Linked DNA regions of Rhinolophus ferrumequinum. Each later gene encodes a partner of the first gene's protein in a complex. Links are inferred from orthologs where the notes say so. Each region holds a gene or a part of one and is shown in the gene's direction. Other genes may lie near its edges. The genes, in order: CELF1 and CALR3.

Region 1 (8,140 bases):
AATATAGTGAGTTCCATGAGGTCAGAGCCCTGTCTCTCTTATTCATGCCTGTGACCCTACCGTCTAGCCCAGTGTCTGACATAGTTAGCATTCAATTAATACCAGTTGGCTGAATCAAAGAATGCTGCCAAAAAAGGCCTTGTGTATGCTTTTCCCACTTCTTGCGTTTCTGAAAGAAACATTTCTAGATACAATTGCTATATTAAAGAATATGTTCATATTTTTAAAAGGTCATGGAGAACTTTTCATAGTTTTGTTGAGTATAATTGACATATATTACACATTTAAAGTGTACACTTTGACATATATATGATATGTCATATATATGTGTGTATATATATATATATATATATATATATATATATATATATACCGCACTTGTGAAAACATCACTGCAATGAAGATGATGGAACGTATCCATCACCCCAAAAAGTTTTCTCATGCCCCTTTGTAGCCCCTTCTTCCCGCACTTCTTTATTCTCATATCCCATTCCCTGGGAGCCACTGATCCACTACAGATTTATTAGCATTTTCCAGAATTTTATATAAAAGCTGTGAATATTTTTAATTTTAATGACTATTGTTAAATTTTCCTCCACTATGGCTATGTCTGTATACATTGAGAGTGCCTATTTCTCACAACTTTATCAACCTTTAAAATTTATTTCTATCCCAAACTGACAGTAAAAAAATAAATTTACATTGTTTTAATTTGAATATCTTTATATGTGAGCTGAGATTGAACATCTTATGTTTATTGGCCATTCGTATTCTTAGGAATTGCATGTTCGTTTCCTTTGTCCATTTGCCTAATGCTCACTTATTGTTATTCTTCCTGGCGATAGAAAGTGCATAAATTCTAAGGGTATGACTTGATAAATTTAATTTGTCTATACTCCCATGTGATGACCACCCAGACTAAATATAAAATGTTCTAATTCTCCAGAAAGCTCCCTTATACTCCCTTCAGTCAATCAAAAGTAACCTCTTTTCTGACTTTTCTTATTATTTTTGACTGTTCCCAAACTTTAATTAAATAGACTCATACAATATATGCTCTTTTTTTCCTGGCTTATTTTGATCAATATTATGTCTGTGCAATTCATCCATAGTGTTATATGCAATAGCAGTTTGTTCCTTCTGATTGCTATATAAGTAGTCCATTGTAAGTATGCTGCATATTTATTTACCTTTCATTTCCAGTTTGGGCTATTATTAAAAAGAGTGCTATAGACCATGGTTTTGGTGGAAATAAGTACATGTTTCTGTTGGGAGTAGAATTGCTGCATCATAGGGCATAAGTCATTTAGCTGTTTGGCTTTAGTGGATATAGTCAGTCTTCCAAAGTGGTTGTATCAATTCTCATTGCTACCAACAATATTTGAAAAGTGCAAAAAAATAAGTCTTCACTGCAAATCTCAGGAGGGAAAAGATGGTCTTTTCAAGTGGTGATGGATCAACTGTATATCCACATGAAAGAAAAAGAAAAGAAACTTGACCTCTGTTTCACACCATATACAAAAATTAGAGATGAATCCTAGATCTAATAGCAAAAGATTAAAGCAATAAACGAGAAAATTAAAGGAGAAAATGTTCACAGCCTGAGTAAACAAAGCTTTCTTAAATAGAACACAGAAATTACCAACCATAAAATAAGGACCAATAAATAGGGCCTTACTAGAATTAAAAACTTTTATTCATTAAGAGAGTAAAAGGCAAGCCACAGACTGGGAGAAGATATATAAAATACATATCTCCAACAAGGAACTTGTATTCAAAATATATAAAGAACTCCAACAAATCAGGGAGAGAGAGAGAGAGAGAGAGAGAGAGAGAGAGAGAGAGAGAGAGAGAGAGAGAGAGAGAGACTTGAGTAAGCGATTCACAAAAGAGAATATCCAAATGGTCAGTAAGTACTATATATGTAAAGTTTTTCAACATTATTGGCCATTAGGGAAAAAACAATTTAAACCACAATCCAATACCACTACACCCCTACCAGAATGACTAAAATTAAAAAAGGACTGATAATACCAAATGGTGGTGAGGAGAGCACTGTTAATACTTTAATAACTATTCTTTCTGGGTTTTGTCTCTTTCTCTCAACAAACACACTTTCCAACAAAGATGGAATCATCTGTACCTATTAATTTGTTACCTGCTTTATTCATTAAACATGTATCATATTAACAGTTTCCCACAATTAAATATTTTTCTGGATCATTATTTGAAATTATATATAATATTCTAAGCTATGGATATACTATACTTTATCAATCTCCTTTTGTATCGAATTTTATGCTATTTGAACAAAGTAATGATCCATATACATCAGTACATCTCTGCACTTATCCATGGTTATTTCTTTAAAATAAGTTCCTAGAAAGGGATATAAAATTTCATATTCCTCCAGATAGATTATCTGAATTTTACTCCCACCAGCACTTGAAGGCGGCTTGTTTCTCTGCCCCCTTGCTAACACTGGCTATTTTTAAAAACAAATCTTAATCAATTAGGAAGGCAAAAAATGAAACAGGGAGCTCTTCATCTCACATCTGGCTTTTTTTTGTATTTGGACTCGAGTATTTTTTCTGTGCTGTGAAGCCCTTTGAAGTTATAAGAGCTCATTTATGTTCTTCATGTAATTGTTCTTCCCCCCAGCTTTGGGCTAATGGGCTGTGGCCCCTCGGTAATTAGATGCAAAAGTGACACCGCTAGGAGTGGCAGTTCCTCTCTGCCAATGGGAGCCTGAGGTCAAGGGACAGATAAAATAGGAAGAAGTTTCTGGGTGCCCTTCAAGAAACATCTGTTGAACCAGACACTGTGAAAAGCACTGGTCCAACATGAGCATAACAAGACAGGTGTGGTCCCTGCTCTCATTTAGCTCATGGATGAAGGTGATCAAAAGGCACAAACTTCCAGTTGTAAGATAAGTAAGTTCAGGGGATGAAACGTACAACATGAGTATACTTAACAGTGCTATGTAGTGGTATACTCGAAAGTTAAAAAAGAATAGATCCTAAGAGCTCTCATCACAAGAAAAAAAAAACATATTTTTCATATTTTTTTTTGTATCTGTATGTGATGATGGATGTTAACTAAATTTATTGTGGTAATCATTACACAATATATGTAAATCAAATAAAAAATATTTATTGAGCACCTACTATGTGTCAAGCATTATTGTAGGCCCTGAGGATAAAACAGACAAAATCTCAATCCCCATCAAGTTGATCTTCTGGTGGGGGAAGACTACAAATAAAATAAAATATGAAGTACAAAATATACTATGTTAGATAGTGATAAGTACTTTAGATAAAAACAAAGCAGGAAAGGGAGGTTAGAAGCATGGATGTATGTGTGTGTAATTTTATTTACTTATAATTAGTTTCAGGTGTACAAAACAACTAGCGATTAGACATTTATATACCTCACAAAGTAATCATCCCAATAAGTCCATTAATGTGTAATTTTAAATACGATGGTCAGGGAAGGCCCAACTGAGAAGGTAATGTTTATTTTAAGTCAAGACCTGAAGAAGGTAAGGAAGTGAACCATATGGATATCTGGATAATTCTATCATTCACAAAAAATGAGTGATTCTCCACTTAAAAGGTTTCTATAGTCTGTGGTAGCTGGGAGACAAATATAAAATTGTGGGAATGTATGTGACAACATTCTATAAGCTACAGGGTCTATAGATATAAGATGTTCTCAGTAAATTACACATAAAACAATTAACAAGATAATATCTTAGCATAATAAATGTAAAATGACAAACTACATAGCATGATTAGGGAATATGATAGTGTTAAATTCAGCAGCTAATTGTTCCGCTCTACAAGATACCACAAAAACTGTGGTTAGTTTTGTTTTACTCCTAAAAGGGAAAGAGTTGCTTCCAATATATGTGATAACCCTTGAGACTTATGCTTGGGAGTCCACTTATGTGCGTGCGTGTGTGTGCGCGCGCGCGTGTTTTGTGGTAAGGTAGAGTATAATCAGTATTGGTGGGTATGAGAATTATTTGCTTTGGAAAGCCCGATGACGTTGCAGGAAAATCATTTGCAAACCCATTAGTTATTTGCATGTTGCTGGGGCCAAAAGGTCCCAGAACTAAGTTTTCTTTTTCTGACTCTATTTCACTGTCCCACGAGGTGTAGAACCTGCCAAACAAAAGACGTTATTAGCCTTTTAAAAAGAATAAACTGTTGCACTGTTTGCATTCCACCTAAATCCTGATCTTTAGCGTCCTAACCTGGGCTGTTCAGAATTTTTTTTTTTTTTCTGGGAAAAGCAGTTTAGGGCTGGGACATCAGTTTCTTAACAGAACCCCTATAAGCTTCGTGGTGCTGCAGGGATTTTTGCAAGGTTGTGCGTTCACACAGCGGATCAACCCGCTAGAAAGCACTCCGCTAATTCAGAAAGCTTGCAATACATTCACATTCCACATCTCAGCAAAGGAGAAAGGCCTGGGTCCTGTAACTCATCTGCTGGGGCAGAAAGGAGAGTTTGTCTTGTGGCCGAACACCAAGGCATTCAACCCAACCATTCATTTACCAAGTATTTTATTATGCGCATATTCAGTGCCAAGCAGGGGTCCTCGCCCACCAAGCCATCCAGAGTTCCTGCTGGGTGCGGTACGCAGAGCCGAGAACTTCAGATTCCCAGGCCGTGGTGTTCCCACCCTTCCCTCCAGGAAAGCTCAGAGACAAAGAGATGAGCCCCAGCAGCTCCCCGAGTTCCCCCGCAGCCCCGGGGGGCTACGGCGCTGCTGCTTCTCTACTCCCCAGCCCGAGGGGGCGCTGCAGCGCCGGGAGCTCGGCCCGCCCCTGCGCCGCGCTCCGCTCTGATCGGCGCTGCGGGCGGCACCGCGATGGTACGTTCCCCTTCACCGCCCTACCCCTCCTCCTAGGCCCTCCCCGCCGGTGGTAGGTGCCGGAAGTGCCGCCATTTTGGGGTGTTCTGTTCTGGCGGCAGCGACAGCGGCGGCGGGACGCGGAGGCTCCCCCGGGACTCGGCCTCAGCAGCGAGGCGGCGGCGGCTGCGGAGGCGCAGGCAGCAGCTGAGGTAGCGGCGGGCTCAGGTGCAGCCGCTGGTGAGTGCGGCGGCCGCGGGATAACGGGCCACGGGTGGGAGGGAGGGAGCGAGGGAGGGAAAGGAGGCAGGAGGGAGGCGCCGCGGGGCGGGTCCGGTCCGGGCGGCCGTGGGGCACAGGGCCGTCCGGGCGCGGCCGCTCTTCGTTCCCCGCGCCCTGGAGGCAGGTCAGCTGTCTCCTTCAGCGTGTCGGGGTCCTCAGCTCCCCGGGTCCCGCAGCTCTTGCCCGGCGCGTGCCCCCGCGGCCAGGGAGACCCGCCCTCCTCGTGGCCTCGCTCCCTCTCTCTGCGCCCTTTGCGTTCACCTCCGGGCCCAGAAGCCTTCGTTCTCTGCCCAGGGGTAGGTCCGTCCTCTCTTTTTCCGGCCGCCTTGCCAGACCCAGGCTGCTTGCCCGAGACACCCCTTCCCTGCTCCTGTCGCCCCACGTGTTCTTGGAGCTCACTGCTGGGGGGCCCCAGGACCCCCCGCCTCTGGAGGGCAGCGCTTCTCCTCAGGAGCCTTCCGAGCCCCTTTTCCTCGGCCCAGATCCGCAAGGGCCTTGGCTCGCCCTCCCCCCACATCAGGTGTTCACCCAGTCATGGCCTACTAGAAGCAGGGCTGGGATCTCGCACCCGGGAGCGCGGAGCGCAGTGAAATGCTTTCTGCTAGGCACCCGGTTTTGAATTTAAAGCCATTGCTGTCTTGGTTGTTGTCCTCGGGGCAGGATGTTTTAATTCTTGAAGACTGTTGCTCAAGCTTTAAGGAGCTTCTTGTTGGATTAGGCTCGTCCTTATAGTTGAGAAGAAGGTGGCGAGATTTTGTTCGGAGACTTTTCAGCAAAATGGAAGCATTTTTGCCAGCGGAGTCAATGCTGTACTTTTATTACCCTCGAGTAACAAGGCTGTATAACAGTTTTAAATAGCGTGGAGTGTTGTAATGTCTGCAGTGTAAGAGGTTACAGATACCCCGTGAATTCCTTACAGGAACTTCACCTTTTAAAGGCTTTTTACTGTCTGTGAGTCTCTGTGGGTTGGAGAGGCTTTTCTTGCATCCTTTCACCTTTCCAACAAGTGTTGGGTTGGCTCTCTTCAAGTGTAGCATCTGGAGTGCTATGCAAGTTTCAGTCTCCTGGAATTCTTGGTGAGGAAGGAGGTGTCTCCACTTAGAATCGTCCAGGGCTCTTTCTGTTTGAACACGGGATAAGTCCACTTGGAAAAGCATGGAGTTACCGTAGCATGCATAAACTATTGCTACAGTTTCCCCACACTCCCTCGTGCCAGTTTTAATATTCTTCTAGCTTTATACTACGTAGTTCTGATCATGAGTTAGCCAAGATTGAATCTGGAGCTTTCAGCTGTTGCTTTAACCAGGAAGTTTATGGTTCCCCCAGTGGTTCCTTCCTCTTGACACCTGTTTCCATTAAGAATAATTCGTGTCCCAGAGCATAGGCCACAACTTTTCTCCATCCATTCATTCTTCCTCATAGGGTTTTCTTTTCCTAGATGCTATCACCTAGATAGTGTCTGGACTTAAAATCCATTAGCATGTGGGGCTGTTAGAGAAAGAATGTTTTTTCCAACCCCGTCCCTTTTCAGATGAGGAAATTGAGGCCTCCAGAGGTTAAGTGACTTCTGCCCAAGGTTACATAGCAAGTGTTCTTAAAACAGTCTCATCACAGATTTTTTTAAAAACAATACCACGAGCAAATTGCCCTTTAAGATGTGATGGACTGGAAAGGTTCCTGAGCTTGGAGTTAGGAGGCCTGGATTGTAATCCTTGCTCTGTCAGTTGTTAGCTGTATAATTGTGACCAACTCACTGTTCTGAGCCTCAGTTTCTGCTCATCTGCAAAATGGAGGAAATAGTGTCTACCTCACATGCTGCTAATTTAACTTTAGTGCCATAGCACGTGAAAGTGCCTGTGGTATGAGAGGCAGACAGGGAAATTTTGATTGAGCCTGATGATTTGTTTATTTTTTATAAAGACTTGTATTTATTTTTCTTATTAAGTTATAGATTTATTATAAAAATAGATAAACCCAAAAGGAAGAAACTCACCCTTACTCCCACCAGTCAGGTGATTATTAATATTATTAATATTTAGTCTTTATCTTATCCTTTTTATATGTTATAGAAATATTGATTTTACCAAAAGAGAACCCCCTAGTAATGGTTTTGTGACATGTTTTTAAGATTTAATAATAGGTCATAGGCATGGTTTAACGACCACACTTTAAATGATGCTCTGTATTAACAGCTCCAGCACGTGTGAGGTAGGCCAGTGGATATCCCAGTACAGGAGCAGAGAAGTTGCTCTTTTAAACATGCTGGACTGGAAGAGGAGGAGAGGAAGGGCAGAGACCTAACAGTGATTGTATGTCTACTGTATGGTGGGTTTGTTTGTTTTTTTTAAAATATTCAGGCTCTGCTCCTAAATGTAGAGTGAGTCCTGAATTCGGTGCCCCTTCCTGTGACTGCCACTGTAGCTTCTTGAGCTTAATTTTACTGTGAGGCTGGACCTAATAAGGAAGTGGGAGGTTAGAAGTGGTGGTGGGCCTTGGAAAGGGAAAGAGAAGAGCTGTCACCTGGAGGCCAGGGTGAAGTTGGAGGAAGTAGGAGCATTAGACTCCTTTCTGCTCTAGGATACTCCCAACAAATTGCTGTTTCTTCTGCCTTATTTGTTGTTGTTCCTGTAGCTTTATTGAGATATAATTAACATAACACGCAATTTAGTGGGTTTTGATATATTACATTATTAATTTTTAAAAATTGTGTGAAATATATATACAAAATTTGCCATTTTAACCATGTTTTATATTCGCATTTTTGATGTGGTAAAACACGTAACAAAAAATTTGTCATCTTAACTAGTTTTGAATATATGGTTTTGTGGCATTAAATACATTAATGTTGTTGGGAAACAGATCTATAGAATTTTCATCTTGCAAATCTGAAAGTTTATACCCATTGCACAACTCCTCTTTGCTCCCTCCGCCCAGCATTTGGTAATCACAATTCTACTTTGTATTTCTAAGAATTTGACTACTTTTAGATACCTCATGTAA
Region 2 (7,956 bases), on another chromosome or scaffold:
ACGTGGATGAACCTTGAAAACATGATGCTGAGTGACAGAAGCCAGACACAAAAGACCACATGGCGTTATGATGCTATTGATATGGGCAAATCCAGAGACAGAAAGTAGATGGGTGGTTGCCAGGGGCTGGGGGAGGGGAAAATAGGAGTGGTTATTTAATGGGTCTCCTTTGGGGGTGATAAAAATGTCTGGAACTACACAGAGGTGGTAGTTGCACAATATTGTAAATGTACCAAATGCCACTGGATTGTTCATTTAAAAATGGTTAATTTTATGTGACTTTCATCCCAATTAAGAAATGGAAATACAGTCTTCCCAAGTGAACGATTGCTGTGTGGTACAAGTGACAAGTAGGCGTGGTCGCTGAAGGCATTAATCACTGCTGGTGTTGGATCCGTCTGACAAAGTGCTGTCCTGCGGCGTACACAGTAACGAATTAGTTAGTATGGCAGAACTGCCTAATGTGCCCCCAATAATTCCGTCCCCTACAGAGCATGCCCACAATAGTAGCTGTGACTGTCTGAAACCCAAATTTTCCTCGGCAATCCCTTTTCTCAGGTAGATGGGTGACGGCTGCTATCAAGTCTCTAGCTCTATGACAGAAAGGTACAAATGCAAAGGCTTTGTTGAAAAGAAATACATGCGAACCTTACCAAGAATAGTTCAATTTGTTCATTCTCATTGACTCTGGTTAAACCCTGCTTTGTGCGTATTTCTTTTTCTCTAGAAGATTCCATCAAGCTTCCCAGCAACTCTTTCATTTCCTCTTCATCACTGTCTGGAGAATCCAATTTTCTAGTAGGTTCTTTTTCTTTGGGTGTTGGAAAATTCCGCTCTTTCCCAAAATGGGCTTTAGGGGATACCTTTTCAATGGATGGCTCTCTCTTCTTTAGAAACCTACTGGTCTTTCCTCTCAGCGTGTCACTCTCAGTGACAGGATTTGCACAGGCCTGCTTCTGGGAGGTTTTGACTGTTTCCTGTGAAGAAAGTTCAACCGTATTCCTTGGAGGAATTTCGTCTGCTCTCCTGGGAAGACTGTCCTTGGAGGTCTTTGGGTTGGATTCCATGTCAGACAAGTCCAGCTGCACCTTCCGGTTCATGATCTTGGATTCAATCTGGGCCAGCTTCCTGAGTGCGGCACTGGTCCTGAGCTTCGAGGCCGTGGTCAGGGGTCTACCTGAGGACAGCCAGGGCCCACCCCCCAGGCCAGCATCCTCTTTCGGGAATAAGTGTTTTTCACCCAGAGTCTGGCTTCTTTTTAGAAATCTGCTATGACTGGTAGCTCTTTTGGTGAGATTCTTACTGATGTTCAAGTTTCTGATTTCTTCCACCTTGGAATCTTCTAAGGAAATATCACTGAAATCGCCCAAGATATCACGCATGGGATGGCTGGTTTTCCTTGTTGAAGCCATTCTAGGGAGCAAAGAAAGAAAACTTATAGTAAGAACACCTGATGTTTGTATTGTGCATTCAAATCTCTCAGTGGCTCTCACCACCCCAGAAGAGAGCAAATCCTCTTTCGCGGTCTGGCCAGAGCCTCCCCTTCAAGCCTGATGCTGACAAGTAAAATGATTAGACACTTGGTACCACTTAATGAATGACCGTTCAACACCTGGTCTTAAATGAGACCTGTCACATATGAAACATGAGCACCAGCAGTTCTCAGGCTTCAGCAGTGTGCCCACCCCTCTGCTCAGAGGTACATTACCTCATCTAACCCTCACACAACCCCATGAGTCGATTATTGTCACCCCTTCTTACAGGAGGTGGAGGAAATGAAAGCCCCCACAGGTTAGGTCACCTGGCCGATGAGTAGCTGAGCCAAATTCAAAGCTCAGGTCTGATTCCAAAGACCCCACTGTCCCCCACTTGGCTTCACTACCTCACCAGTTACTTTCCCTGTCATCCGAGTGAGTCCTGCTCCCCAATCGTACCCCAAGTCGAGGCTCCTCTTTTATCCAAGTGTCCTCAGCTCTCTCACAAAAAGCTGTTGAAGCACAGTCTGTGTATTTCATGGGCTCCTTGCCAAATCTTATTTCACTTAAAGTGTGAGAACCACTGCCCAGGAAGGAGGGGAAAGCTATGGACAGACACAGCACCCCCCACCGACTGTCGGCCACAGGTCGAGTGTGCATGCTGGCGTACACTGTTGTGGGAGAAGGACCAGAGCTTTCATCATATTCTCAGAGTTCCTGTGTGCCCCTGAGAGAGTAGGAACGATCCACTGCAAGATGTACAAAGGTTTCAAAAGGCTTTAAAGATGTAAACAGATGGAGAAATACGGCACGGATGGGTATGTATTGGCTGCAGCCCTTTAATGCGAAACTCAGCACCAGCAATGAAAATGTGAACTGCACAGACCCCTGACCTGGCAATTTCACATCTGGGAATTTACCTACAGTTACATTCTCAAACGCGCCGAGATGTATATTTAAGGAATGCCAGGGCAGTGTTGTTTGTACTCATCGAAAACCTGAACCTATCAATAGAGACCTGGTAAAGTCCAGGAGACCACACTCAGATGATGGAACACGATGCAGCGATTAAAAGGAATGAGGGAGATCTGTTCTGTGAGCATAATGTCTCCCGCAAAATAATATGTAAGGCGGCGCAGACGGGGGTCTCAGTTGGTTAGAGAGCGTGAGCTCTGGGCAGCGGGGCTGCTGGTTTGATTCCCACATGGGCCAGCGAGCTGCACCCTCCGCAACTATAATGAAGTCAATGAGCTGCCGCTCAGCTCCCGGGTGGTCAGCTGTCTCAGTTGGTTGGAGCGCGGGCTCTCAACCACAAGGTTGCTGGTTCGACTCCTCGAATCCCGCAAGGGATGGTGGACTGCGCCCCCTGCAACTAAGATTGAACAAGGCACCTTGAGCTGAGCGGCCGCTGAGCTCCCGGATGGCTCAGTCGGTTGGAGCGCGGGCTCTCAACCAAAAGGTTGCTGGTTCGACTCCCACAAGGGATGGTGGACTGCGCCCCCTGCAACTAAGATTGAAAAAGGCACCTTGAGCTGAGGGGTCGCTGAGCTCCCGGATGGCTCAGTTGGTTGGAGCGCGTCCTCTCAACCACAAGGTTGCTGGTTCGACTCCCACAAGGGATGGTGGGCTGCGCCCCCTGCAACTAACAATGGCAACTGGACCTGGAGCTGAGCTGCGCAACTAAGCTCCACAACTAAGACTGAAAGGACAACAACTTGCCTTGAAAAAAGGCCTGGAAGTACACACTGTTCCCCAATGAAGTCCTGTTCCCCTTCCCCAATAAAATCTTTAAGAAATAATAATAATAATAATGTGTGAGGCAAAAGAGACAAGACGCAGAATCGTACCTCGTCTCCATACTGCTCTGAAACGTCAACAGCTATCTTCGTTAATATTTTTGTAGCTGAGGCCCAGGAGACGACTCAGTCCAGAACTTTCTGTGGGTCAGAGGGGAGGCCCTATCACCAGGCCAGGTTTTCTAGCATTTAGTTCTTCTGAAATTTTCCCTAGGTTTTAAAATAAAACAATAGAAGAAATGGTTAAAATGGCAAATTTTATGTTATGTACATATTACCACAAGTAAAATAGATCTATTTAAAATACATACAATTAAAAATAAATCAGTAGGCAAATGATGTGAACAGGCATCTCTCCAAAGAATATACACAAATGGCCAACAAGCCCATGAAAAGATGTTCAACGTTAATAGCCATTAGGGAAAAGCAAGTCAAAACCACCAGGAGATCCCACATCACACTCACCAGAATGGCTATAATCAAAAACAGATAATAACAAGCATTGGTAAAGATGTGAAAAAAGTGGAACCCTCATACCCTGTTGGGGGGGTGGATTGTAAAATGATGCAGTCACCAATTTGGAATGCAGTCTGGTGGTTCCTCAAAAGGGTAACCATAGTTACCAAATGATCCAGCAATTCTACTCCATGTGGCCAAGATAATTGAAATGTATGCAAATATTCATAATAGTTATTATTTACAATAAGCAAAAAGTGGAAACAATCCAAATACCTATTAACTAGAGAGTGGGTGAGAACTGCGGTCCATCCATGCAATGAAATACTATTCAGCAATAAGAAAGAACAAATACCAATACACACAACAATAGGCATACATCTCAAACACATTACAATAAGTGAAAGTAGCCAGATGCAAAACACCACACACTGTACGATTCCATTCGTAAGGACTGCCCAGAAAAGGCAAATCAACAGAGTCCAAAAGTACATCAGTGGTTGCCTGGGGCTGGGGGTGGTAGCGGGGATGGACTGCAAAGGGGTAAGAGGGATTTTCTTCCAGTGATGGAAAGTTCTAAAGCTGGATTGTGGTGATAACTGCACCACTTGGTAAGTTTACTAAAAACAACGGAGTTGTACACTTAAAGGGGGTGAACTGTATGGTATGTAAATGCATCCTCAAAGTTGTTAAAAATAAATAAAAACTTTGAAAACACTGACGTGCCTCGGAGTCTTTCTCCGGGGTCTTTCCCCAAATCGGAAACGACTCACACCGGATCACGCGCCCGAGTGGGCCCAGACAGGGAAACTGAGGCATGAGGCGCGGGGCGGGAGGTGGGGGCAGCCTTCCCAGCTCAGCCCCGGACGAGCCCCGATTCCCTGCAACTCCTCTCCCAAGCCCGGCCGCCGCCCAGCTAGTCCTTCCAACCTCCTCCCATGGCGTCCATCCGCGACGGCCGCCTAGGATCTCCGCGGGGCACTCATACCAAAGGTCCGTTGCCCCGGCAACGGCGCCAAGGCGGAAGTGACTACATTTCCCAGCAGGTACCGCCCCCCCAAAGACCAATAGCGCCACAGGTCACAATTGTGGGGCGTCATGAGAGTGGTAGTACGGGACCGGATTACGCCGCGCATCAGGGATCAATCATGCCTCAGGTCACAATCGCGAGGTATGACGGGAGTTGTAGTCCCGGGACGGGGACGGAGCGCGGCAGAGAGCGCTGGGAGCAGAGGCGGTTACAGAAGTGCCCTGCACCCTTCATGGCAGCGGCTCACGTCCTGGCCTGGGCGGTCTGCGTGCTGCGAGTGGCGCTGGCAACCGTCTACTTTCAGGAGGAATTTCTAGACGGAGGTGAAGGGGCGACGCCCGCGGTGCAGGGGTCGTAAGCTCCCCGGTTCCGTGCTGCTCGAGGGATGGCCTGAGTCTCCTGTGGCCCTGGCGCGTCGCAGTGGAATGAATGAGGCTAAGCCTCGAAGCTTCGAAGCTTCGAGGGGCCCCCTCACCATGGGCCCCCTCACCGTGACCCAAATTAACAGTTTTCAGCCCTAACCATTGTTGTTTCGCCCCACAGAGCGCTGGAGGAACCGATGGGTGCAATCCACTAATGACTCCCAATTGGGGCATTTTAGACTCTCGTCGGGAAAATTTTATGGCCATAAAGAGAAAGACAAAGGTTAGTGTAGGAATCGTGAGAAAAGTCTAGCTAAATGCTAAACTCTCCATAACAGTCTTTCAAGGTAGGTGTGGCTCACGGCGAACACCTCTTACACCCATTCACAGCTGGGGAAACGAAGGCACAGGTAGGGTTTGGCATTATTTCTTGTTTTCTCCTTTCTTTACTTGCCCGAGATCACCCTGCTTTGTAGTCACTGCAGAGACCCCCGGGCCTTGCCTTGCAGAGGAAAAAATACTTCTTATTTTCACTTTTAGAAGTAAAACAAGGTAAAAGTTAGATGTTGTCAAGTGTACAGATCTTAGGGGATACAACAGGAGGAATGTTTACGTCTGTACACACAGGTCAAACTAGGGAACATTTTCAGCCCCTCCTCCCTAGAGGCCTCCCTTTTGCCCCCACCCTTTCAGTCAGTAGCCTCCTGGTACCAAGGATAACCTCTATTCTGGCTTCTTCTCATTCCTGATGATCAAAGGGAACAAACTACAGCTTGTCTACCTCCTGTTTTTGTGTACAGCCAACAAGCTGAGAATGATTTTTACATTTTTTAATTGTTGGAACACTGAAAGGGGAATATTATTTTGTGATAGGCAGAAATTATACAAAATTCAATGAAATATATGAAATTTCAGGGTTCATACAAGAAGTTTCAGGGGAACACAACTATGCTCATTTATTTACATATAGTCTATGGCTGCTTTCATACTGCAAAGACAGAATGGAGTAGTTGGGACAGAGACCAAAAGGCTGACAAAGTCTAAAACATTTACTCTCTCACCTTACATAAAAAATTTGCCGACCCTTATGTGGATGAAAAATTTTCCTCTTTTCCACCTTCCATTCAACCTTTATCTTGGCCCGACGTTGCCCTATCCAGCAGCCTCTGGTTTTCGATTGTATATCCGTTGTTTTGTAAGTTACATGTTGGCCCAAAGAGTTGGTCAAAAATCAGGCTATGTGGAATTCAGACTACATGGAATGAAAACAAACAGGTTATTCCATGAAGTTTGTCCAAGGGCAGAAGTTCCCACTTGCTTTTTTCTCCACAATGTTTTTCCTTCCTCCAGTCTGGATTCCTGAGATTCTGTGCATTTCATTCACTCCAGCACATGACTGCTAAATGCAGATGCAACGCGGGCAAGGCACTGAGGATACCAGTTAATTTGGTCCCTTATGTTATGGTCCCCTGGGACTATGACATAGAAGCCATGGATGTACAGATAGAATTTAGTCAGACAGAGATGGGAGGTGGTAGGAAACCATGGGGGGGCGCTGAGAAGGGTAATAAGACATGGAGGTGGTGAATCACGTGGCCTTAGGAATTGCCTCGATGGTAGAGGCCAAGAGAGGGGGAGGGGCTACAAATCCCCTGAGAAAGGCAAGGGTGAGGAAAGAATGGGGAACACAGAAAGAGAGGTGTGGTAGTAGGAAATCAGCGTGAGTTCAGGCTTGGACCTATTGATACGAAATGCCAAGTTCGTTCATATGATAACTCTCTGCGTAGGCAGCTATGAGGGCCAGAGTCTGGAGCGAGGAAGACTAGGTTATAAGACTGGCTCTGTTTTTAGGTGTGTCCGATGAATTCCAGCATAAGATAAGGATTTGGTACAGAGCCTAGTGTCTCTTGAAAAGGGGTTTTGTTATTTTCTTATGTTTTTTATTTTTTAGTTTTTTAAAGATTTTATTGGGGAAGGGGAACAGTGTGTACTTTATTGGGAACAGTGTGTACTTCCAGGATTTTTTCCAAGTCAAGTTGTTGTCCTTTCAATCGTAGTTGTGGAGGGCGCAGCTCAGCTCCAGGTTCAGTTGCCCTTGTTAGTTGCAGGGGGCTCTGCCCACCATCCCTTGCAGGAGTCGAAAAATTGAACTGGCAACCTTGTGGTTGAGAGCCCACGGGCCCATGTGGGAATTGAACCGGCAGCCTTTGGCATTAGGAGCACGGAGCCCCAAGCGCCTGAGCCACTGGGCCAGTCCAGGAGTTTTGTTCTTGAAGTGAACACAAACCTATAAAACGAATATGAGATGCTTCACATGACGAAAGGATGGTATCTCTATAAAAAGAGCCATCATACAGATGACACTCACCCAGTGCCCCCAGTGCAATGAAACACTTTTTTTACAGATCAGCACTCTATCCATTTGCTGTTTTGTGTCTTAACTCACTGTTTTAAGATGAGAATTAAGGAAAAGAAGTAGAATGCTTTGTTTTTTAATTCAGTTGCTACACAAGCTTCCTTGTATGTTCCCACCCCCTTGGAAGATGAATGGAAGCAAAATTAACCTTTTATCCATAATTAGATTGCATATTTGTCATTCAGAGCTGAAATGTTTTTATAACATAAGACATAACATTGGTGTATTAAGTACAAAAACATCTTCTTAGTGTGTCAAAAAGAAATTCCATGGCAGCAGAGAGCCTGGTAGTGGGATGTCCATTGTATATTGTATAAAAAAGCTACAAGCGCTGGATAGACATAAGTGGTTAGGAGGTTTATTATTTAGGGGAGGGGAAAGACAACTATTTAATTTCCTGCATCACTGAGTAGCGTGTCAT

What was found.
Region 2: CELF1 (region 1) and CALR3 share a complex: the UniProt entries of both Homo sapiens proteins name them as parts of the EIF2 complex. The link is inferred for Rhinolophus ferrumequinum from reciprocal best matches to the Homo sapiens genes CELF1 and CALR3.

Annotation. Positions count from the first base shown.
Region 1 is NC_046294.1:13,704,217-13,712,356, forward strand, and holds the start of CELF1 (CUGBP Elav-like family member 1), read left to right. Parts: upstream 1-4,946; 5' UTR 4,947-5,098; intron 5,099-5,230; exon of another isoform or gene 5,231-5,436; intron 5,437-8,140. UniProt on the Homo sapiens protein: RNA-binding protein implicated in the regulation of several post-transcriptional events. Involved in pre-mRNA alternative splicing, mRNA translation and stability.
Region 2 is NC_046301.1:50,011,557-50,019,512, reverse strand, and holds the start of CALR3 (calreticulin-3), read left to right. Parts: upstream 1-4,930; 5' UTR 4,931-4,989; coding exon 4,990-5,080; intron 5,081-5,300; coding exon 5,301-5,402; intron 5,403-7,956. Other genes in the region: C18H19orf44 (uncharacterized protein C19orf44 homolog), read right to left, coding at 654-1,413, 3,323-3,333. UniProt on the Homo sapiens protein: During spermatogenesis, may act as a lectin-independent chaperone for specific client proteins such as ADAM3. Required for sperm fertility. CALR3 capacity for calcium-binding may be absent or much lower than that of CALR.